Linked DNA regions of Arabidopsis thaliana. The protein of the gene in region 4 interacts with the protein of the main gene of each other region in a biochemical or structural test. Each region holds a gene or a part of one and is shown on either strand. Other genes may lie near its edges. The genes, in order: AT5G51560, AT3G03770, AT2G02780 and RHS16.

Region 1 (5,508 bases), on a different chromosome or scaffold from region 4:
GAAGAAGTCTCGCTTATAAATCTCCACGACTCGTTCGTTTCTATGGAAACAAATGGTGTTATGTGATCGAAGCCTTTTGCTACCGTTAGATCAAGCGGTTTGAGGAGAAATGGACGGTTAGGATTAGTTACTGATTAATTAGCTATATCAACAATATCTTCCTTCCTTAGATATTTGGTATAATCCTTTTTTGACCAATGAAAAGTATAATTTGATATTTTTTTCTGTCTTTTGTGGACAACTAATAATTTAATTTATTTCTTTCAAATAACTCAAGTAATTCTAAAAATTTACTAGGTCCAAAATCTAATCCTGAAGTCTAGAAAAATCATGTAAATTATTCGAATCTGGTGGCCAATGCTAATAGTTAACCTTTGACTTTATATTTATAAATTTGTATCTAGATCTAGATGACTAATAAAGACTTAAAAGTTAAAGCTCATATCCAAATCTAAATCAAAACCATCTAACAAATCAATTCTTTTGATATTGATTTGATCAATATCAGAAAAAAAAATGTTATACGTTATTTTTTTTCTATATTGAATTATTGACAATAAATTGGTTCAGAAAGTTATAAAAAAAAAAGAAGACAAAGTACCATAAATATTTTCCATCTACCGAAATTTTTTAAAAGTAATGTACTTGTCTTGTCTTCTTCTAAGGTTGAAGAGCTTAACATAAACACAAATCATACAAACCAATAAAGTACAACACGTTGAACAGTTTTTAAACGTTAATGGGAAGGGAAAAGGCACCTTTTTCTTAACCCTAAACACAGGAAAAGGTGACTAACAAACCCTTCCTTAATTGATTCCTAAGGTACACATTACACATTTGCCTCGAGAGAGTTCTCAGAGACAGCTACTACAGTTACCTAGCTCATGAACTACAGCTTCCACGGATGGTCTTTCAATGGGAGATTCATGAGTGCATAGCCACGCGATTCTAGCTAGCTTTGTGGCTTCATATTCAAAGAATCTTCCTTGAAGATTTGGATCTATGTAATCATTGAACCTACAAGCTTCAGTTCCAAGCTTAACAAGATGCCTAACCTTCTGTTTCCCGGAGATTATCTGAAACACAAGAATCCCGAAAGCGTAGACATCGGTTTTCTCGGTGAAACGTCCGGTTGTGGTGTATTCTGGAGCGAGGTAGCCCATTGCTGCACTGTCTTTGAGTGCAGAGAAGACAATGTCGTTTGTGAGAAGTGTGTGGAGGCCTGAGTTTGAGAGTAGAGGACTGTATCGCTGGTCGATTAGAACTTTCTCCGCTGAGATGTTTTGGTGAACCAATGCTGGCTTGCTTCCTTTGTATGAATGTAGATAAGCAATCCCTAAACACAAAACATCAAACACATAAACAAAAATGAATCAAGAACGCTAACAAAATTGGTTCGGCATAAATAAAACTCATACCTTTTGCGATGCCTTTAGCAATGGATACTCTCGTGGACCAATCAAGAACATGCGCATCACCATCTTTGAGATCAAGATAGCTCAGTAAATTTCCATTAGGAGCAAAATCATAGATGAGAAAACATTCTCCACGGCCTCTTGAACAGCAGAAGCCTCTAAGTTTTGACAAGTTTTCATGTTTCAGAGACGCCAACATGTTGAGTCCTTTCAAGAACTCAGGTTCTTCAGATTTGCAACTTGTTTTACTAAACCGTTTGATCGCTACAGCAGAACCATCTCTCAAGATTCCTTTGTAAGTCGCAGAGAAGTTGCTTCTTCCAAGCAAATTCACTTCTGAGAAATACTGTGTAGCAGTTTCAACCTCTTCAAGATTGAATCGAAAGCTCTGGATAACTTCTTGAGCAAAGACACTGAGATTCCTATTGTCTGAAAGTGGATCCCAACCATTAGTATATTCAAGACTGGCCAATGGAGAACCATTGTTCTTCCTAAAACCTCCTCCTACGGTGTTGAGACGGTTGTCCGACATTTCATAAGTGGTTGAAAGCTTCTGTTTGCGTCTGCGATAATGCGTGAACAAGAGGATGCTAATAGCAGACAATGCAATAGTCGAGACAACCAAACCAATAAGGATTGCACCTTGGTGAGATTTTGGAGGAGTATTACAGTTTGTTCCATTACAAGGTGACCGTAGATTAGCTGATTCTGGTATATCCCGGGATGGAAAACCAAACACGGTTGCACCGTATGGCTTAGGTTCCTCAGGAGCTGTGCCATTGCAAGATTTCAACGGCGAGAACTCAGCTCCACATAGTCCCAAGTTGTTTTCAAACGAAAAACCTTCATTTAATCTCTTCAGTACTGTCAAATCGGTACAACAGAGAAAGAAATATAAACCAAAATGAGAAACACTTCACAAAATACGCAAAGTTAGTTTCAAAGATCATATAGTGAATCAGTTTTCTAACCAGGAGGTACATTGCCAGTGAGGGAGTTGTTGCGGATGTCGAGAACTCGAAGCAGAGGAGGGCTAGCTAACTTGCCTGGTACAGAACCAAACAAATGATTGTAGCTCAAATCTAGCCGCTCTAGAGCACTTAAATCTCCTAAACTCGCAGGTATAGCTCCAGTGAGTTTGTTAGATTGAAGAGCAAGAACACTCAGCTTCCTCAGTGAACTAAGCTCCCTAGGAATGCTTCCAGTCAAATTGTTGTAACAGAGCTGCAAAACTACACAACAACATAGACCAAAAAAGGAATGAAGCTTAGCTTTGACTTACATTAACTTAGAACTAATTCTAGATTTAGAAACCTGGTCCTGCTAATTAAAGCTCAAATATAAAGCCTTTTGAAAGTAAGTGAATCAATTATCTAAATAAACAAAATTAATCAAGAGAAGTACAAGTTATCTTCAATTCAAGTCCATATTTTGGGACCAGTAAGCCATTTATGGTTCCAATTAAAAGTTTGAATCTTAAAAAGTTCTTGACTATTCTTCCTTACAGGAAAATTACAAAAAGAAAAATCCTAACAAAAAGACATGAAAAGGACGTTTTAAAGACAGATCATTAAAGCATTAAATTCCAAAATCATCTAATTCAAATAATTTCAACTACCAGAGATAGTAATGAAGTAACTAAAACCCCTAAGACAAGGAGCTCAGATTTCTAGGTTTCAAATCTCCACAGAACATTGATTAATCTTGGGACAAGAATTTTGCAGAAACCAAAGATCTAACAATGCTAAATTTAGGTTTTAAGTTTAATCAATGATTAAGATTAAAATTAAAGTAAAAAAGAACTAACCTTGCAAGCCTTGCATCTTCCCAATGTTTGAAGGAATCTCACCGGAGAGATTATTAACATTGAGATAAAGATCCGTAAGTTCCGACAAGTTACCAAGTTCTCTAGGAATATCTCCAACAAGAGCATTGTAGTGCAAGAACAAACCCGTCAAATGTTTAAGCTTTCCAATGTTCGGAGAGATTTTACCAGATAAGCCTTTCCCTTGTAGAGATATGTTAGAAACTCGTCCTTTCCAGTCACAACCAACACCTTCAAAGTCTTTACACAGATCTCCATTAACACTCCATGAAGCTAAGTGTTTGTCTTCTGGGTCAAGCTCTGTTTTAACCTCCATCAATGTCGCTAACTCGTCGGTGATTTCTGCCATGACTTGGTTGCTGAAGTGAAGGAAGAGAAGTGGAAGAAGAAGAAGATGAAGCAGCATTTGTGTCGCCGTCATTTTATTTCTAGGGTTTGGTTTTGAGCTTGAAGATAGCAGCTTCAGAAAGCTAAAGGAGATGTGAAGAAAGAATTAAAGGTTCAGTTTTTCAAGAAGAGGAGAGAGAAGATAAAGACACAGAGATGTCGCATGCTTTTGTTCCATTCAGACAAAAGAAAAAAAAAAGTGTTTGTGTTTTGGAGATACCAGAGATGGTTTAAATCTGATCGTTCGATGTTTTTGTGTTTGATATGAATCGTTGGATCTCTTGGGATGTTTTTAGTTATGGTGAGTTGGTTTTTATGTTATCTTATCTCGTTGATGTTGGTCCACTCTGACTAGAGCAATGCATGTTCTCTTTTTTTTTCTCCTTAGTTTATATATATTTCAAATTCTATTTCTTACAACATTTGTAATAGAATTTTCAAAATTTATTATGAAGAATTTGTTGTACTTGTACATACGAATTTTCTACAGTAAGTCTATAAATTGTATTATGATCCAACTTTTGATATCTTTTGTAATCGTAAATAATTTAGCTAAAAATGGTAAACAAGAAAAATGAAGGTCAAAACAAAAAGATCCCACATAGATTTTGGGAAAGTGGAAAAGCTCTTCTAAATAAGGCAATCATTCAATTATGCTGCGATGAAGCTAGGAGGAATATGACCTAATGACCATTATATTTTGGACACACTAAAATGTTCTAATTTGCCCCAATAGCCGTTGTTTTAATTGGTTAGGCTACTTATTTTTGAATACTAATAATCACAGCTAGATTTTATATTTAACCAAATATAGTCATATAATCCTAAATGTAGTTAAAGACAATCCTAAATTATATTTTAACCAACACACAATCGCAAATATAGTCGTGTAATCCTTAATGCAGATATAAAAAATCAATTTAACTTAAGATGCTAATAACATATTTATAAAAAAAATATAACAAGTCTGAATCTTATATACACAAAAAGAGATGTGTCGATGGAGTTGGGAGACAATTTGTAAATTGAAAGCACAAGCAATGCAATGCAATCTATTAATCTAATAAGTGACTGGGCGACGAATTCGGAATGGAAATCATGTTCTCTAAATTGGGCTTTAAACAATATTGCGTGAAGCAAGAATAATAAATTTGGGCTTTAGAAAATTGCTAAAAGGCCCATTATCAAATACCCAAAAAAAAACTAGTTTCTGTGTCGGAATTGTATTGAGCTACCGTCTACCGATCATGGCATACCGCATACTTATCTTAAATTATTAAAATTGCCTGTCATTATTCAGTCATGACTAAAATATATAAAAGAGAGCAGAGATTCATCGTAGTAAAAAAAAATAACGACCCAAAAATTATTTTACATGCTTTATGTGACTTTCTCATTCCTTAATGATTACACATAAATCCCTGAATTCATTTTATCTCTTATGCTATCATGAAGTCATGAACTATAGAGACGGTTAACGAATTTGCATTCTACCATATTACTGAAGTGATGCAACATGCACGCACTTTAAATATAAATTTGCATGCAGAGAAACTATAAAAGGAAAATTGGCTTGAATTACTTAACATGAATGAAACTAAAAATATTAACGAGGTTCGATTATTTTGATTTTCACACTAAATTTCAAACTATATATTAAATTGAAGTCATTGAAGGTTATATATATGTGAAGTTGTTTTGAATCTTAACGCTTAAATAGTCATTTCGGATTGTGATCCCACTAAAAACACTCATTCAGGATTATGAGATTATCTAATAGTACTACAATTCTTCGTGAGCAAAAGAGAAGATCCTAAAAATAATGTTTGCGTTTTCACTTTTCACTCGTTTTCACCGAAGCTGTAATAATCACTCGACACT
Region 2 (6,545 bases), on a different chromosome or scaffold from region 4:
TAGGCTCTAACGTACGTCTTAATTAAGTATTTGCTTTCGCTTTCTACAAATCACTTTAATGTAGTGTATATATATTTATGTGATAAAAACAGAATAATGTAACATATGAATGCATGATAGTAATCAAGAAAAAAACATAAAATAGTCGTATAAATGTATTTCTATGAAATAATCTCAAATTACTTCACTTAGCCAATAAATTTTCATAATATATTAATTTTATAGTTGCCAGTCGATCAATTTTCACTACCAGTTAAAATAGTCGTATAAATGTATTTCTAGCCGTTATTAATTTTCTTTTCGTCTACCAAATTAAAGATCAATCTTTTTTTGTTAAGGAAAAAGAAATCGAAATTGGAAATTACCACGTTCTATTTCGTATTGTTTAAAGTTGGCTAGTCGATTATAAGCTGCACCAACAATTTTTAGTTTTATTTAAACTATGATTGTATACGACGACATTGACTATTGAGACATGCAACCAACAGATACAAAACAAAACTAACCAAAAAATGAAACACGCAAAATGAAGGAAAAAAATAAGATAAATTAAAATTAAATATTTATTCCTAAACGATGCACAGAAAAATCTAACAGAAGAAGATGCTTATATAAAACCAGGTGGACTAAAATTTCACAGAATTTTGTTTTCTTATGTTTGTAAGCATTTACTTTACTTGTTTTCTTATACCTGCAACTATGAATCATATTAAAAAAAACTACAAGATTAATAAAAAGATGAATCACTCATGGCACGTGAGAGTAGTCAAGAGATTAAGACATCATGCCTTAGTTTCAATTTAATATGATTAAATACACGAGTTTAGTTTAAATTGTTTGTTAATTTGATTTCCAATTCCTTGCATGTTATTCTTTATTGATCATATTATATGTGAGCTAATTTGTTGTATTAAGATTGTTTTCTTGAACTTTGAAAAGGTCGGAGAAGATTGGGACCTACATGTGTCACTTTAAAAGTCTGGTGTGACCTTTCTGATGGAGATGCCTTCGTGCGAAAGCTTACATTACAGTATGTGTCACAACTTCGCTTTCTTTTTATTTTCACCTTAAATATATATATTACCTCTTTCAGATTTAAGTTTTTGGATGGATCTTTTTTTTTTCTTTCAGTTTGGTTTTAAGCCTAGTTTTTGATAAAATTCCGGTGTAGTTGTTGTGGTTTTTATGTTTAGTTTGTTTTCAGCTTTCTTACATGATCAAAATTCAAAACAAAATTAGAGTTACACTAATTTACTTGGTTTTGTTTACTCATTCTTGATTAATCTTGTTTAACTTAGCATACCCAATTAATTGATAGACAGACTTTTCTCAATCAAATTAATATTCATATAAGAAACTTTAAAAAAATATCAAAATTAAATCTATACTATATAAAGACTTGTTTGCCTCAGACTCGTATTTGTAGATCATCCCCCTAAAGGCCTAAACCCTAAAAGAATATTTCTCTTATCATTACCTTTTTATCTTTCTTTTTTTTTTTGTCTTTTTACTTTTTCTTGGCCACAGCTTTGGCTGGAGTGGATTTCTCTTTGGTCCCTATTTTTTTGAAAGTGATAATATAATATGAACATATTTAATGCTGATAAAATAATTTACTTTGTGTACTGTATAAATAGTGAGACAACCAAAAATAAAAAGATCAGAAAAAAACGTCGGCCAGACCCTGTTGGATTCGCTTTTTTTTTTTTCTTTTTTAATTTGTTAAAAATGCATGTGAACACTTACAAGATTATTTTTTGGACAAAAAAATTCTATTTCTATTTTGTTTGTTTGTTTTAAAATTATTTTTGTAAAAAGAATTTATCGTTGTCTTCATCTCGTGATGGAGACTTAGAGAGGAGGACCAAACTCTCTGTCGTTAGCCACTGACAATTTACTAAATCGTATGGTTGCTAAAATGTTTTTGCATTGATTTTACAGAATTTGTTTTTGTTTATTGTCTATTTAAAAAATAAAAAAAGTTTGTTGGGTTAATATTGTTCCCAGAGTATCCTCTGTTTTATTCTTATAAGATATAATAATCACTCGTGAAGGAATCTTGAATGTTTTTAAAGCTCCTTGAGGAACTTTCATCTCTTACAGAGGATTTTCTTGGGAACTTTTCTCACTTTCTTCTTTAAATCAAGTTGCTACTTTTTTTGTTTCTTTAGATAAAATCGATATTCCATTCACAGTTACTTCATAAGTTTGCAGAGGTATTTCTTCATCTCAAAGGAAACGATTTGTCTTTTCATTTTCTCATTCTTCTTACTCTGATGAAACCAAATTTTGTTTCCAGGAAAAATAAAATTTAATCTCTTGTGCTCAAAAGTTTCCTGCATCTTTTCTTCTTGCAAGGTGTCTTAAAGAGGAGATTCTGTAACACATGTGGTGAGTTCTTCCTGTTTTTCTGGAATTCACATGCAAAAATCATATTTTTTTAGTTTGAAGATTGATTTCTAAGATTCTCTTCTGTTTAATGCATTAACGAGAAAGTGGTTAAAATATCAAGATCTTGAGAGTGGACCCTGTTTTGTAAGTACATTATATATAAATGTGATTCTTGAATGAAATGTGTCTCTCTCTTTGCAGGTTTTGATGATGATGCTTATATGATTTTATTTAGTAGTTGTGTGTGTTTTATGGTCTTGTGTGGCTATGGAGAAACTCTATTGTGGCATGCCGTTACTGCTTCTGGTTCTGCTTTTAGCTTCCATTGATGGCTCTACACAGCTACAATCATCTCAATCTCAAACCCTCTTGAGGCTGCAACAGCTTCTCTACTATCCCAAAGTGTTAAACAGCTGGAACAACTATACAGATTTCTGCAATTCTGAGCCAAGCCCTTCGCTAACCGTTGTGTGTTATGAAGATAGTGTAACGCAGCTTCACATTATAGGAGACAATGGAACTCATATGTTACCAAAGAGTTTCTCAATAAACTCGTTTGTTACTACTCTTGTTAAGCTCCCTGATGTTAAAGTTCTCACGTTTGTGTCCCTTGGGTTATGGGGTTGGTTACCTCAGAAAATCAACCGTTTATCCTCTTTGGAGATTCTCAATGTGAGTTCCAATTTCCTCTTTGGACCAATCCCTCATGAACTCTCGTCGCTTGCTACTCTTCAGACGCTTATACTCGACGAGAATATGTTTTCTGGTGAGTTACCGGATTGGATTGATTCTTTGCCGAGTTTAGCTGTGTTGAGCTTGAGAAAGAACGTGCTTAATGGGTCATTGCCTTCTTCTTTGAGTAGCTTGTCAGGTCTTAGAGTTCTTGCTTTAGCTAATAACCGGTTTAATGGAGCTTTGCCTGATTTAAGCCATTTGACAAACCTTCAAGTGCTTGATCTTGAAGGAAACTCTTTTGGACCGTTGTTTCCTCGGTTAAGTAACAAGCTGGTTACTCTTATACTCAGCAAGAACAAGTTTAGATCTGCAGTTTCAGCTGAAGAAGTAAGTTCTCTGTATCAGCTTCAACATTTGGATCTTTCCTACAATACATTCGTTGGTCCATTTCCTACTTCCTTGATGTCTCTTCCCGCGATAACTTACTTGAACATTTCACACAACAAACTCACCGGGCGGCTTTCAGCAAATCTTTCTTGCAACTCACAGCTGATGTTTGTAGATATGTCATCAAATCTTCTTACCGGAAGTTTGCCTACTTGCCTTAAACCGAGTTCCGGCACTAGCAGAGATGTTGTCTATGCAAGCAACTGTTTGGCTACTACGAATGAAGATCAACGTCCAGTTTCTTTTTGTAGTAATGAAGCTCTTGCTGTTGGAATCCTACCACAGAGGAGGAACAAAGTTTCCAAAGTGGGTATTGCTTTAGGTGTAACCGCAAGCATTCTCGGGGTACTTCTCCTCGCCGGTGCCTTATTTGTGGTTCTTAGGAGATTAAATGCTAAGAAAACAGTGACGAAATCTTCCCCAAGATTGATTAGAGAGAATGCTTCAATGGGGTACACATCGAAACTACTATCAGATGCAAGTAAGAGGATAAAATATCTCTCACATATTGTCACATAGATTACATAGAACTTGTCTTCATTGATAACTTGTGCTGTAACTGCAATACTTTGAAGGGTATATCTCTCAAACAATGAAGCTAGGAGGGCTCGGTCTTCCAGCTTACAGGACATTCTCACTGGAGGAGCTCGAGTATGCAACAAATAACTTTGAATCCTCTGCTTTCATGGGTGAAGGTTCTCAAGGACAGGTACAGCAGTGAAGCTTCAATCTTTCTTTAGCTAGTTTCCATTTTTTGAACAGTTGAATCAAACAAGATTTTTGTTTTCATTGTTCTTTTCAGATTTATAGAGGGAGATTGAAAGATGGATCCTTTGTGGCAATTAGGTGTCTGAAAATGAAGAAAAGTTGCAGCACACAAAACTTGATGCATCACATTGAGCTCATCGCTAAACTGCGGCACCGTCACTTGGTTAGTGTGCTCGGGCACTGCTTCGAGTGCTACTTGGATGATTCAACAGTCAGCAGAATGTTCTTTGTCTTTGAGTATGTCCCAAATGGAGAACTCAGGACCTGGATTTCTGGTACCACACTGAAACATCATGTGTTTTAAGAATGAAGATGATCATTATATATTTTTTAATAACTAAATCGGATTGTTCTTGTCTCTGCTGTGCTAGATGGGCACATGGGAAGATTGCTTACTTGGGAACAACGCATAAGCGTAGCGATAGGTGTAGCAAAAGGGATCCAGTTCTTGCATACCGGTATTGTGCCTGGTGTTTATGATAACAACCTTAAAATGACAGACATTTTGCTTGACAATAACCTTGCGGCGAAACTCAGTAGCTATAATCTTCCATTGCTTGTGGAAGGTCTTGGAAAGGTAAATGACGATGTCAAAAGTTCGAATGTTTTTGTTTCTTGAATTTTGAATCTCTTTTGCTTTCCTTTCTAAGGTGGGGCAAGTAGGATCTCGGAGCGGACCTAAAGGCACTCCAAGGTGTGTAATAATCTTCTTTACTCTGTTTCTCATCAGCTTGTAAACCCGGTTATATGGTTTAATCCTCTGTTTCTCAAAAGAATCAAAAACGGTTTATATGGTTTAATCCTCTGTTTCTCATCAGCTTGTAAACCGGTTTATATGGTTTAATCCTCTGTTTCTTAACAGCATCAAAGACGAAGATAAAATCGATATCTATGATTTTGGAGTGATATTGCTTGAACTTATAGTGGGAAGACCATTGAGAGCAAAGAGTCAAGTCGATGTTCTAAAAGAGCAGGTAACACCATTCGATATATATGTAGCTTGATGTGGAATCGCTATCATCTACTTTAAAAACTCTTTTTTATTTGTTGTAGTTACAAGCAAGCATTTCAGCGGATGATGGAGCACGTAGGAGCATGGTGGATCCAACGGTCCATAGAGCTTGTTCAGACCAATCACTGAAGACAATGATGGAGATATGTGTAAGGTGTCTCCTTAAAGACCCTTTAGAACGTCCTTCCATTGAAGATGTCCTGTGGAATCTTCAGTTTGCTTCTCAAGTTCAAGAAGGTTGGCTACAAAACAGCAATCCCTCGAGCAATCTCGGCTCGCCTTCTCCTGCTGCTTCCTCTCTTCCTCCTCCCTCTCGTTTACACGTAACAACACTCGAATCTCCCCGAGATTCAGGTATTTTTGAACTCGATCTTTTATGATCAATTGATTCAGTTCAGAATAGAATTTGATTGTTAAAGATTTGAGATTGAATAAGTTTATTGATCTGAGACTTATTTGTGTGGTTGTAATTGCAGGATGTGAAGAACATGAGAGGTAGAGAGACGAGGGTTTTTGTTTGGTCTTGTTCACTGATCACTACTCTTTGGAAAGAACATAACCTTTTTGTTTGTAATTTGATGTTTGTTTTTGTTTTTTTGTCTTTAGTTGTGTTGAGCTTAAACGATCATAACAGTTAATAATATAGTTAATTTTTCTTATAAACTTTACTTAAAAGAACAGTGTCGGTTAATTTTTATTCTTCAAAAGGAATACAAGTCCAACAATGGTGAGATAATTTTGGAAAATTCAATCGTTTTTTCTTCCTGTTTTGTTCAGCGAAAATAAATTAAAATTGTATATAGAAATTGAGATGGAACCGATTTCTAGGGTTTAGAAAAGATTTGCTTGATTGATTCTTCTTGTCCAAGAAATCAAAATAGAGGATAATGGCTGGTGTTGGATCATCAAATCCTTTACTTATTTATTAATTTGGATTCGTATGTAAATTCAGTTAATTCCAACTAGTATGATAATTAACCAATAACTACATGCATATATCTCATTCAAATATTTCACGACAACTCTACATGTATAGTATACGTCTGCTGGATATACTTATTCTCTTTCTCAACATTATTATAAAAACGGAGATATATTTAAATTAAAGACAAACCCTAGGTAATACATTCATCTCCGGTGAAAATCCTCCGCCGGAAATATAACCTTCGAAGCCACCGCCGTCGATCCAACAGCCACCGAAAAATCAGCACCGCTCTCTTCCTCATCCTCATGCTGATAATCTCCTCTCCTT
Region 3 (5,467 bases), on a different chromosome or scaffold from region 4:
TATAAACATGTAATACTTTATAATCATTTTAAGTTATTTCTTATTACCATCATTCACTGGAATTTGTTTTACAACTTTTGTACAGTTGATCTTTAATAAATGAGCTAAAACTAAATAGAAGATTTTAAATTTTGATGATTGTCTATATATTTAGTGTAAAACAGTAAATGAAAGGCAAAAAAGCTGCAAATCAGATTCTGAATAAAAAACATGTTATGACGTCTAATCAAAGTTTTAGGATCCGAGAAGTTTACTTTTCTTGAAACACAATAATCGAAAGTTTTGTTTAATCAAAAGAAGCTCATAAATAAATTCTAGGATCCTAAATAGCTAAGTAAAAAACAAACTGAAATAGATTACAATGAATTCATACATTACATTTTTGTAGTTTGAGACCCTAGAAATACGATCTTGTTCCTCCTCTTTTGTTTATAGGCTCAGTTTTAAACCTTAATAAATTAATAATCTCGGAACCGATAAATTCTAATTAATTTATAAAGGTATTAATTTATTAATAAATCTTATAGAGAGATTTTATTAATTTTGTAATTTTTTAAAATTTCTATGTGAGAAGTAGTTTTTGTCTTTATAATCAATGTCTTTCAAAAATAAATTACAAATAAAAAACCAATTGTTAAGTTAGTAAACAAAAAACACTTTGTTCAATATAGTAAAAATATTAGAAATGAACTCTACTAAAAATTTTATACAAATTTAAGAAAAATGAACAATACTAGAGTTAAATCCCACTAATTTAATTAAATATATATATATATATATTAATAAGTGTAAAATTATTAATTTATGATATTGATGAGATCATATGTTTACGTAAGAGTTTTTAAAAACTTATTATTTTATAATTTCATTGATTTGTGTTATTTATTACATTGAAAACGTCAAGAATTTATTAATTTGTAAAAATAGTAATTTATCGAGGATTAGTTTATAAATAATTTACTGTATTAGCATTCACAAGGAATAAGCATAGTACATATATGTCCCAATGTTAAGTAAATCATTTTTTGTATAATTACTTGTCAAAAAAAAAAAAAAAAAAAAAATCATATAGAAACTAAAATATTTGGAAATATATATGGACTCAAAGGTTGTACAATTTTGGGCCTAACCGTATTATATATAATATACGGGCTAAATGTTACACGTATGAAGCCCAAAATAACCTCTCTTTTTTTTTGTCAAACTTGATTTGTAATTGAATTTTAATAAAATTAAATAATTGAATTTTAATAAAAATTAAATAATTGAATTTTAAATGCATATTTTTCGATAAAAAAAAAATGTCTGTTGCAGAAAATATTAAATGATACTTTCGCAGTGACGATTATTCCAAGGCCGTTTGCATGTGCAGATGTGCTTGATCATATAAAATCCATTCAAATTTTCTAACATTAGTAAATGAACAGTTCATCAGAATAAAAGAAACAGCTCGACATTTGGTAGAATCTCTAACCACACTTTTAAAGAAAAGACACAAACCTAATGGCTTCTCTCTCTCTCTCGAAGACAAAACACGACATAAATTTCTTAATCCTCATTACCTATCACCGACAAGTAATGAAACATCTCTATAATCTTATCTGATCAATCATATATAACCAAAAGCACTTGTTTTACTAATAAAACAAAGCAAAAATCATGTGAAATACAAGTTCTTATTGTTAATTTGTTATAGTAGTAATCAAATCAAATAAATAAACATTTCATCTTCTTGGATTCATTGCAAAACAGTCTGTCAAGTTGAGGTTGTGCAATGTGCAGTAATGAACAAACAACCAAACCAAGTTTAAGAACTTAAAGATTGCATTTATTGCCTCCACCTTAATTGGCTTTTCTACTTTCATTTACTTCTTCTTCTTCTTCTCTTGATCCAAAGTTTTCCTCTACACTACCTATAGATCTGTCTTTGTTCCTAGAAAAATGATAACTTTCAGTGAGTTTCTGTTTCTCTAAAGGCAAAACACATCTTCACTATGCAGATTTCTCTTCAAATCCATTTATCTTCCTTCACTTTTCTTCTTCTTATTTTCCTTCTTCCAGTACTCTCTGAGTCTCAGGTAGCTTCAAGTGAATCACAAACTCTTCTTGAAATCCAGAAGCAACTACAATATCCACAGGTTCTTCAATCATGGACTGATACAACCAACTTCTGTCACATTCGTCCGTCTCCTTCCTTGAGAATCATCTGCCTCCATGGTCACGTAACAGAGTTAACCGTCACCGGGAACAGAACTAGTAAGCTCTCTGGAAGTTTTCATAAACTCTTCACTCTTCTTACACAACTATCGAGCTTAAAGACTTTGTCTCTTACTTCTCTCGGAATTTCTGGTTCTCTTTCTCCTAAGATCATCACTAAGCTATCACCGTCTCTTGAGTCTCTCAATCTTAGCTCTAATTTCATCTCTGGGAAGATTCCAGAAGAGATTGTGTCTTTGAAGAATCTGAAAAGCCTTGTTTTAAGAGACAATATGTTCTGGGGTTTTGTCTCTGATGATCTCAGAGGATTATCAAATCTTCAAGAGCTGGATTTGGGAGGTAATAAACTCGGTCCTGAAGTTCCTTCACTCCCAAGTAAGCTCACCACTGTTTCATTGAAGAACAACTCCTTTAGATCCAAGATTCCAGAACAGATCAAGAAGCTGAATAACCTTCAAAGTTTAGACCTTTCTTCCAACGAATTCACCGGGTCGATTCCAGAGTTTCTGTTTTCGATTCCTTCTCTTCAAATTCTCAGTTTGGATCAGAATCTGTTAAGCGGGTCACTTCCAAATTCTTCTTGCACCTCCTCAAAGATTATAACTTTAGACGTGTCTCACAATCTTTTAACTGGAAAGCTTCCTTCTTGCTACTCTTCAAAGAGTTTCAGTAATCAGACAGTGCTTTTCTCATTCAACTGCTTGTCTTTGATTGGCACTCCTAACGCGAAGTATCAGCGTCCGCTTTCTTTCTGTCAAAACCAAGCAAGCAAGGCAATAGCTGTGGAACCTATCCCCAAGGCTAAAGATAAAGATTCTGCAAGAATCAAACTCGGGTTAGTGATTTTGATAATCATCGGTGTGATCATCCTTGCAGCAATTTTGGTTCTGTTGGTTTTGATTGCCCTCAAAAGAAGAAGATCAAGATCAGAAGATGATCCTTTTGAAGTGAACAACAGCAACAATGAGAGACATGCCTCTGATAAAGTCTCTGTTTGCAGCACCACAACTGCCAGCTCTAAGTCATTACCAGATTCAAGTAAACAATGACTTATCTTATTAATACTTGGACACTTGAAACTGAGTCTTTCTCTAGCAAAAACCATTAACAGGATCTTTCTGAGTGTAGGACGTGTACCACAGACAATGAGATCTGCAGTGATTGGTTTGCCACCGTACCGCGTTTTCTCCTTGGAGGAACTGGAAGAAGCGACTAACGACTTTGATGCAGCTAGCCTGTTCTGCGAACAGGTAAAAACAAAAACTTGACTTGAGACTCTGGCGACGAACCTAATAGATTACTTAATATATTTGGTATTCGAACAGCTGTATAGAGGTTGTCTAAGAGAAGGCATACCAGTGACAGTGCGAGTTATCAAGCTGAAGCAGAAGAGCTTGCCACAAAGCTTAGCTCAACAGATGGAAGTTTTATCAAAGCTAAGGCATATGCATTTGGTTAGCGTTCTTGGACACTCCATTGCCAGTAACCAAGACCACAATCAACACGCTGGACACACCATCTTCATTGTTCAAGAATACATCTCTAGTGGATCATTGCGGGACTTTCTCACAAGTAATAATAACCTGAAAAAGATTAGAATATATATTCAGGTTTCCATAGACTCAAATGGTTATTCATTATGGGAATTTTTGTGATCAGACTGTAGGAAGAAAGAGGTACTGAAATGGCCTCAGAGAATGGCGATAGCAATAGGAGTCGCTCGAGGGATACAGTTCTTGCATATGGGAGTAGCACCAGGAATCTTTGGGAACAATTTGAAGATAGAGAACATCATGCTTGATGAAACACTCACAGTAAAAATCAGTGGCTATACTATTCCTTTACCATCCAAGGTATAAAACTTTGTTTTATTTCTTCTTCTATTAATTGAATCTAAGAAAATTTAATGGCATTTCTAGGTTGGAGAAGAGAGGCCTCAAGCCAAAAAACCTCGGAGGTTGTTGTTGTTTCTTAAGATATGATCAAATGTGTTCTCTTCTATCAAATTTTGAAACTTGTTAATGAATAATGTGCAGTAATGAAGATAGAGAGAAAGAAGATGTGTACCAGTTTGGAGTGATACTACTACAAATCATCACAGGGAAAGTAGTTGCTGCAGGATCTTCAGAGATGGGAAGTTTGAAGCTTCAGGTCTGTTCTGTTTCAGTCAGAACCTTTTCATCTTTAAGAATCCGACACGGCTTACAAATTTAGAACCTCAATGTTATTATTTCCTGCAGCTGGAGAACGGTTTGAGAGATGAACCATCAGTATTGAGCAGCTTAGCAGATCCATCTGTTAAAGGATCATATGCTTATGAGTCGTTGAGGACGACAGTAGAGTTTGCTATCAACTGTCTTTGCGAAGATCAGAGCAAGCGTCCTTCCATAGAAGACGTTGTGTGGAATCTACAGTATACAATTCAAGTGCAGCAAGGATGGAGACCAAGCAGTGGGAATCATGAATCATCCATGAAAGCAATATATGAATGAAATGATCATAAAGAGAGGCAAAAACTGTAGAAACAATAATAAGTTTCAAACAAGTCAAGATGTAGTTTCATGGACTACCTGAAATATCTTTTATTAGCTAACTTAGTAATCTGTGAATAAAAAGCAAAAGGAGTTGAAAAACACACAAAGACATGTAAGAGAGTGTGTCCAGCTTTGCTCGACAACATTGCAGACTCTTCTGTTGTATTCGCGCTTGCTTTCGCTGAACATTCGTGCATCTCTTAAAACAAATCAGCAGTCTACAATCTTGCTAACCTGCTTGATGAAGACATCAAAATCTTCAAAAACCTTCACAGGTTCTTTATAACAAGAATCTCTGTGCCTGGAATACTATAGAAAATCCCAAAAGTTACTGCAAACCTCTCACTATGCTCACGTCTAACCTCTCCATCTCAACCACACTCCGTGTTTCGGGCAATCTCCAATACAGAAGTCTCTACCTCATCCAGCATTCTATAAACTTCCTTTGTTATGACTTGTATCGCTAGCTAAAAACAAGTGCTTGTGTTCCACATAACTATAATAACCATAGCTATACCCAGGTTAGGTAAGATGTCGAAAACAGCAAGTGGCTTTGCCAAGTTACCTCACCTAGCATACATACTACTGATCAATGCATTTTCGCTCACAAAACAAATTTTGTTACAATACCATTGGCTTTTACTAGCTTCTTACTTCTTGACCAATCTCTTGAGCCTCCAAGATAGATAGGCACAAGAAGACAGGATCATGACAAA
Region 4 (6,483 bases):
GTAGAGTAAATTCTCAAAGCTTTATTTTCTTGACTGTACAAATTTTAATTCATTAAATAAATACAAGAAATTGAAATTATCAACATAAATATATAACAAAAAAACAAAGATAAGTTATAAAAAAACAGATAATTATCAAACTTAAAAAAAAAAAACAATTTCTTTTATCAAGAATTCATAGATTTTTTTTCTATTATCATAATATATTTATTTAAAATAGTAATACAAGGCATTTTATTTACTATAAATAAAATATTTTATTATAATTATTATATTTGTTAATCTATTTTTTATAAATATTTAAAATAAAAAAACTTACAGCAATAATTCTACAGCAATAAAAATTACAGTTATAGCCAACATAGTTACAACAAAATTTCTACAGCAAGAAATAATCATACCGTATAATTCTGTTTTAGTTTTCTTTGTCCTTTAACCACTTTTCTGCTCGATTAGTTTATTGAAAAAAAAAAAAAAACATAGACAACTTGCTTGTTCTTACAATTTAATGTTTTCGTGGTAACAAATTTTCTTATAAGAAAACAAAAACGAATGAATCTTTAAACCAAAAGAATCAAATTTAAATCATATATGATCTTTGAAAATAACAAAATAAAATAAAATGAGAACCCATAAATGATGAATCAAAATAAACTTTCAGTGACAAAAACAAATGATGAATCAAACCTTGAGTTAGTTAAAATAACTTATTTCTCACACTACCTTGCCATTGGGCCAAACGTGGAGTAATCTCCAAAAGAAAGTGAAACCGATCCAGATGAGCTATTATATTCATTGCTGCTATAATTCTGAACCGTCGACTTGGTCTTCGTGTACTTCTCTTTCACTACTTCCTTCTTCTCATGATTGCTTTTTGGCTCACGAGCTAGCTCGGCAGCTAAGCACTGTTTCAAGTCAGACACGATCTGGTTTGTGTTTGGTCTGTTGGTTCCTCTGTCTCTGACGCAAGACATTGCCACTTCCACAAATTTCCAAGCCGAGTTTGAGGAGAAGTCGCCGTGAAGCCGTGGATCCACGACACCATCTATGTCTCCCATTTTGAGGAAAGGCTCGACGTAGTGAACAACGTTCATTTTTTCTCCGTCGTCAGTTTTCATTATGGATCTCTTGCCGGTTATGAGTTCAAGGAGGACGATCCCAAAGCTGTACACGTCGCTCTTCTCGTTTAGCTTAAACGTGTTGTAGTACCTATTTTGAAACCAGTTTATGATGAGACCAACATGACCAAAATGGTAAAGATTAAAAGTGGTGATGTGTTAAGGAAACTTACTCAGGATCGACATAGCCAGGAGTGCCCATGACAGCAGTCACAACGTGGCTGAGATCATCCTCAGGGAAGACCTTAGAAAGCCCGAAATCAGCGATCTTGGCTTCCAAGTTATCGTTTAAAAGAATGTTTGCTGTTTTAACGTCTCTGTGTACTATTGGTGGCCTGCAGCCATGATGAAGATACTCCAACCCTGCCAAGGAAAACAAATCAATAAGGGGATTTACAACCAGACTAAACCGGGTTTGATGTCTCTTAGCTTTTGAACATTTCAGGATGTCAAAACTGGGACCAACCTTGTGCAGAGTCTATGGCTATATGGAGTCTCTTTTCCCAACTAAGATCCTCTGCATTCTCACCTGAATATCCGTAAACAAAACATCCGTGAGCGCAAAGGCAGCGAAAATTGGCAATAGAGAGATCGAGAGAGATGAAGAATACTTGAAAGATAATCTTGCAAGTTGCCATTGGCCATGTACTCGTAGATGAGAGCCATACTGCGACCATCATCGCAGTATCCAACAAACGAAGCTAAGTTCCGGTGATGGACTGTCAAAAGAAGCTCCGCCTGCATACATTTTACACTTCAGCAACCATAAAACAACATTGTCTAATTTATCGGATTAATGATTCTAGTGTTACGTTACCTCGACTTGGAATTCTTTGGAGACCTGGGATGATGATGATGATGATGAAGATCCTTTAGATTTTCCAAAAGAAGAATCGTTGATCATCTTTACAGCAATTTCAGTTCCATCTTCAAGGGAACCAAGGTACACAATACCAAACCCTCCTTTACCAATCACTTTATTGAAGTTGTTTGTAATACTAGAGACTTCACTATATGTGAACCTTCTCTTTCCCGAAGGCAGAAGTGGTCCTGAATATGCTCCTGAATACACTAGGAAATTAAACACTCGTTTTCTTTCAGCATTAATTCTACCTTATTAAATTTAAATCTAAGTAAAAGACACTCTGTACTTACTTATTTTGCTTTCCCTTCGCATGATGCATATGATAGCCAAGGCGGCAATGAGAATAATCACTAATGTGGATACAACTATTGGCACCATGATTCTGTTCCCGTCCCGACATGAACGTGAGTGACAAATGTTTTGTTCATCGACACTGGAGACAAAGAGGAAATCAATAAGCTTTTGAAAATGGTAGAGACGCGGCAAAATGACTATGGTTCCGTGTACCTGAGTGCAAGTCCATTAGCCGTTGCTCTTTTCCTAAGAGATCTTGGGATAAACCCAGTCAAGTTATTTCCTTTCAAATTCCTGCGACACAAATTAATGTCAGAGACAAAATACTATTTTGATTGTCTATCAATACAAACTCAACGAGGTTCTCTATGTGCTCAACTCACAGGGACTTCAGATATTTTAGATCAGCCAAAAATTCCGGCACAATTCCTTTGAGGTTGTTGTTTGATAAATCCCTGGGAAAACAATGCACACCACTATTATAGTTACTGTGAATAAAGTGGTGGCAAGTTTCAATGTGTTTGTATACTTACAATGACTCAAGAAGGGAGAGATTTCTAAATGCGAACGCTATTGGTCCATGTAATCCACTTGAACTAAGATTTCTTCTCGCAGCAAAATACAGAAACAAGCTCATCAGCAAAACTTAAGTTTGAGGGAAATTACACAATGAGTTTTTTCAGGTTGAAATGAATGAATGACTTACAGGGACTTGATTTGATAACTAGAAGTGTTGTAGCTGCATCCAATACCTTCCCAAGGGAAGAGTCTGGGAGAGCAAGGATCACCAGTCCAAATCTTATTCACTTTATACGTTGATTTTATGCTTTCTATGGCTTGAACTGCATTACCAATAGAAAATGGAAAACTGTGAGTGTCAGTGAAAATTAAAGACCAGAACAAAATATACGTAGACGACTAACAAAGTAGAGATGAACACACCATCGTCAATTCTGGTGTAAAATTCATCCAGAGATTGTGCTGAAAAAATCTCAATAGCATTGAGTATTGGTGGACGCGTTGACTCTGCGGTCTTCTGAACAGAAATCCAGTGATCTTTACCAGTGAAAGCTCGTGAGTTAGACACTGTCATTGAATACTCAGGAGAGGGGTTAAAAGCTCCTGAAACAGGCGACCCATTCCAGAATATCTTGATTTCTCTGCTCTCATTCCTCTTGAGATTTTCAAGTTCTGCAAAATAAAGGTACGCATAAAACCGAGTATCTGGATCGCTTGATGTCCAAGACAGTTCCAATGGTTCATCGTCACTTTTAGGCGAAGCAGCTGTCTTAATAACTTCATCTGGTGGCCTATAACCAGACTGAAAAATATCGATATACCCAGTAGTCATAGTTGTATTCCAAGACACTGGAGAGTACGGAGACCAAATACGATCATATGTATCCTTTTGGTACCGTCCTGTTCCATTCAAATATCCTGTATCCCATCTTTGATAGAGTACCAATGAGACATTTCTTCCAAACTCAGTTCCATAGATGGAGCTGTTCATTGGTCGAAGCTCCAACGCTGAAATAAAAGGAGTTCCTTTACCTTTGTTCACAAGGCAAACATATATTGTATCTGACTCTGCAAAGCTGAGGATCTCCTTGATGACGTTCTCAGAAGCATTTCTGAGTTTCACCGAGGTCCAGAAATTCACGTTTACGTAGAGATCAAACTCAGGTAAAGCATTTTTACCATCGTAGTTTCCATACATAAACGAAGCTCTGATGAGATAAAGATTCCCTTTTCCATCGGAGGGGGTTAAGGTGTAACAGTTCCTGTTTCCTTGAGGAAAAGATCTTACATCAGCAAGCGGGAAAGGCAAAACCGGGTTTTTCGGGTAACCGTATTCTTCAGAGACGTTCAGATTTACTCCAGCGTTGATGAAAGGTGCATCCCAGGTGTAACTGATACCAGTATCAGTGTCTACATAGTTAATATTAGGGGGTGACCCACAATCTATGCTGATGAAACCTGGACCAGAAGAAGGTAAGGGTTTTGATTAATTCTACAACGTTGAGAAAATTTTCATCAAAATTCCAATGCAGGTTTAAATTTTAGAACCTAAAGCATTCAATCATAGAAACAGACTTGGACCTCACTTATCATGTCAAACCAATAATCAGAACACGGTTTTGGCCAAAATGCAACCACATATATCAAAACTTCAAAAATCTTTGGTCTGAAGATTGCTCATTTTCAAATCAAAACAGACTCTAACAGAGGAAAATAAGCGAGAATGAGACTCACGAACCTGCTTGGCCTTGGCCATGTACTACAATGGCAATGGCAATGACGGAAAAAAGGATGAGAAAAACAGAGTGAGCTCCCATGTTCTTCTTATTTTGTAAAGCTCAGCTCATCATCGTCAGAAAAACAGACAACCTGCGTTTAAGATAACACAAAAACACAAAAGACTAGAAAGTACAAAGTCTATGCCCATTTCCTCTTCTGGTAGCAACAAAATTGACCTGGAGGTGTATAACATAAGTGCTGCTCACGACTGAAAAAAGCGGCCAAGAAAGAATATAAAATGGTAATACAGCTATCAAGAAGTAACCAGTGGGTCAACAACTAACGCATGATATATATATAACTCCAATAAAATATTATAACAAAACATAGCCAAGCTTGGACATAGCCGACAGATACAAAGAAAATAAAAATCTTTTCTGACCACAGAATTTGTAACCGAGTTTTGACATTAGATGATTGGGTCACATAGAGAATTACAGACTGTTGCAACCTTTAAAACCAGAAAACTTAAAAGGATAGTGAAAAGATTTTTTACTTAAGCTATTGTTTCTTTAACTGTTATGCTGGAGAGTATTAGAACTAAGCTTCATCTTGTACTAGCTGCTTTGCGGTATCAGCTTCATGGGATGAGCTCAAAGGGAATGATGATAACTCTATGTAATCAAAGTCCTCAGTGATTCCCGCCTGAAAGTTACCCAGCTGATTTAGTCTCTCCTTCATGTATGAGAATGTGAAATGTGGAATTTATAGCCTTTTGAAGTGAAAAGATCTGGAAGATACCTCCGTGTATAGATGTTCTAGCTGTTCCTTGGCCTGGGGGAAGTTGTTTGAACACCATTGTCGCAGTGTGAAGATGTTATCTGAGTAAGTTTGAAAGAATTATAATCTAGGCTGCAGTGAAAATTACGTAAGTATTAAAACTGAAAACACATTCCCAAGTTTTAGAAATGAAATACCTGTCCATCTGTTAGCCGACTGGTGAGCAACTTCAATTGCATTCCCTGTCAAAATTAGAAGGAATATACACATTGATACAGCTAGTAAAGCACAAGATTGATTCTTATTTCTGCTCCACGAAGACCGGGAAAACCATATAGGAGATCTAACACAAAACAAAAGTAACGTATTATGCAGAACTTAACTCTTTGCCTCCAAAGTAGCTGGATCGTTGTCAGCAAATTGTACCATCTCGTTCTGTTTAAGAAGAAGAAACTGTTAGCAACTTGTTAAGCATGTGAATAGCTCTATGCAAACAGATAGTCTGTATAATCTGACCTTCAGATCTTTGTGTTTCTTTTCAATATCTTTGAGTTGCGTCAAGGCCTCTGTTCGTTCCTCCTGCAGCAAGAACAGCAATTCTGGTGAAAAGCACACGTAAGCTTATTCGAGCATTAATTCTACAATACTGAAAATACTTACCGATTCTTCCCTTCCCTTCTTTAGGGCCTCACACTGATCAACAAGTTCTGCTAACCTTTTGTTACTACCCTGAAGATCAGATTCAAGTTTCTGGCGAACACTCCTAAGCTGTTCATTCAAAATGAGATCAGAAACAATGAATTTCGCTATGCTCAAATTAATATGAATCTTTTTGATGTCATCTCAGGATACAGAACGGTGACTCACTTGATTGCCAGCACAGCTGGGAAGGCTCCAAAAGTAGATCTTCATTTGCAAAATAATGAACACCGTCAAACAACATATAACAGAGACAAGGACTATATGGCAACAAATGAAATAAAAAGATCCAACATAGGAACACTAAGCTACTCACAGAAATTCCAATCTTGTCTTTCGCAACAAGATCATCATCGACTAAACTCTGGATAACATCTTTCACAGACTGACTAATTACACCCTTCTTCGGCCCCATCTTCTCAAGTTCCTTTAGCTGAAATTTTTTTACAAAAGTAGAGACCCATAAGTGCTTGTATCACAAACCCAAAA

The links.
Region 1: the proteins of RHS16 (region 4) and AT5G51560 form a complex in vitro, tested with the Arabidopsis thaliana proteins (one large-scale study listed by BioGRID).
Region 2: the proteins of RHS16 (region 4) and AT3G03770 form a complex in vitro, tested with the Arabidopsis thaliana proteins (one large-scale study listed by BioGRID).
Region 3: the proteins of RHS16 (region 4) and AT2G02780 form a complex in vitro, tested with the Arabidopsis thaliana proteins (one large-scale study listed by BioGRID).

What each region holds. Positions count from the first base shown.
Region 1 is NC_003076.8:20,943,960-20,949,467, reverse strand, and holds AT5G51560 (Leucine-rich repeat protein kinase family protein), read right to left. Parts: upstream 3,793-5,508; 5' UTR 3,662-3,792; coding exon 3,223-3,661; intron 2,648-3,222; coding exon 2,387-2,647; intron 2,280-2,386; coding exon 1,419-2,279; intron 1,337-1,418; coding exon 855-1,336; 3' UTR 529-854; downstream 1-528.
Region 2 is NC_003074.8:944,550-951,094, reverse strand, and holds AT3G03770 (Leucine-rich repeat protein kinase family protein), read left to right. Parts: upstream 1-1,856; 5' UTR 1,857-2,216; exon of another isoform or gene 2,217-2,299; 5' UTR 2,300-2,391; intron 2,392-2,592; 5' UTR 2,593-2,658; coding exon 2,659-3,994; intron 3,995-4,088; coding exon 4,089-4,222; intron 4,223-4,315; coding exon 4,316-4,556; intron 4,557-4,652; coding exon 4,653-4,858; intron 4,859-4,931; coding exon 4,932-4,975; intron 4,976-5,143; coding exon 5,144-5,255; intron 5,256-5,334; coding exon 5,335-5,647; intron 5,648-5,769; coding exon 5,770-5,792; 3' UTR 5,793-6,018; downstream 6,019-6,545. Other genes in the region: LBD20 (LOB domain-containing protein 20), read right to left, coding at 6,422-6,545.
Region 3 is NC_003071.7:781,174-786,640, reverse strand, and holds AT2G02780 (Leucine-rich repeat protein kinase family protein), read left to right. Parts: upstream 1-1,718; 5' UTR 1,719-1,994; coding exon 1,995-3,255; intron 3,256-3,345; coding exon 3,346-3,467; intron 3,468-3,542; coding exon 3,543-3,789; intron 3,790-3,876; coding exon 3,877-4,070; intron 4,071-4,136; coding exon 4,137-4,174; coding exon of another isoform or gene 4,175-4,199; exon of another isoform or gene 4,200-4,253; coding exon 4,254-4,368; coding exon of another isoform or gene 4,369-4,431; exon of another isoform or gene 4,432-4,457; coding exon 4,458-4,709; 3' UTR 4,710-4,967; downstream 4,968-5,467.
Region 4 is NC_003075.7:14,383,761-14,390,243, reverse strand, and holds RHS16 (root hair specific 16), read right to left. Parts: upstream 4,774-6,483; 5' UTR 4,614-4,773; coding exon 4,535-4,613; intron 4,255-4,534; coding exon 3,220-4,254; intron 3,120-3,219; coding exon 2,984-3,119; intron 2,923-2,983; coding exon of another isoform or gene 2,883-2,922; coding exon 2,811-2,882; intron 2,733-2,810; coding exon 2,661-2,732; intron 2,572-2,660; coding exon 2,491-2,571; intron 2,417-2,490; coding exon 2,274-2,416; intron 2,190-2,273; coding exon 1,936-2,189; intron 1,857-1,935; coding exon 1,730-1,856; intron 1,648-1,729; coding exon 1,585-1,647; intron 1,482-1,584; coding exon 1,292-1,481; intron 1,210-1,291; coding exon 720-1,209; 3' UTR 514-719; downstream 1-513. Other genes in the region: ATMND1 (Mnd1 family protein), read right to left, coding at 5,116-5,220, 5,317-5,396, 5,493-5,537, 5,679-5,730, 5,812-5,874, 5,956-6,063, 6,163-6,201, 6,311-6,427.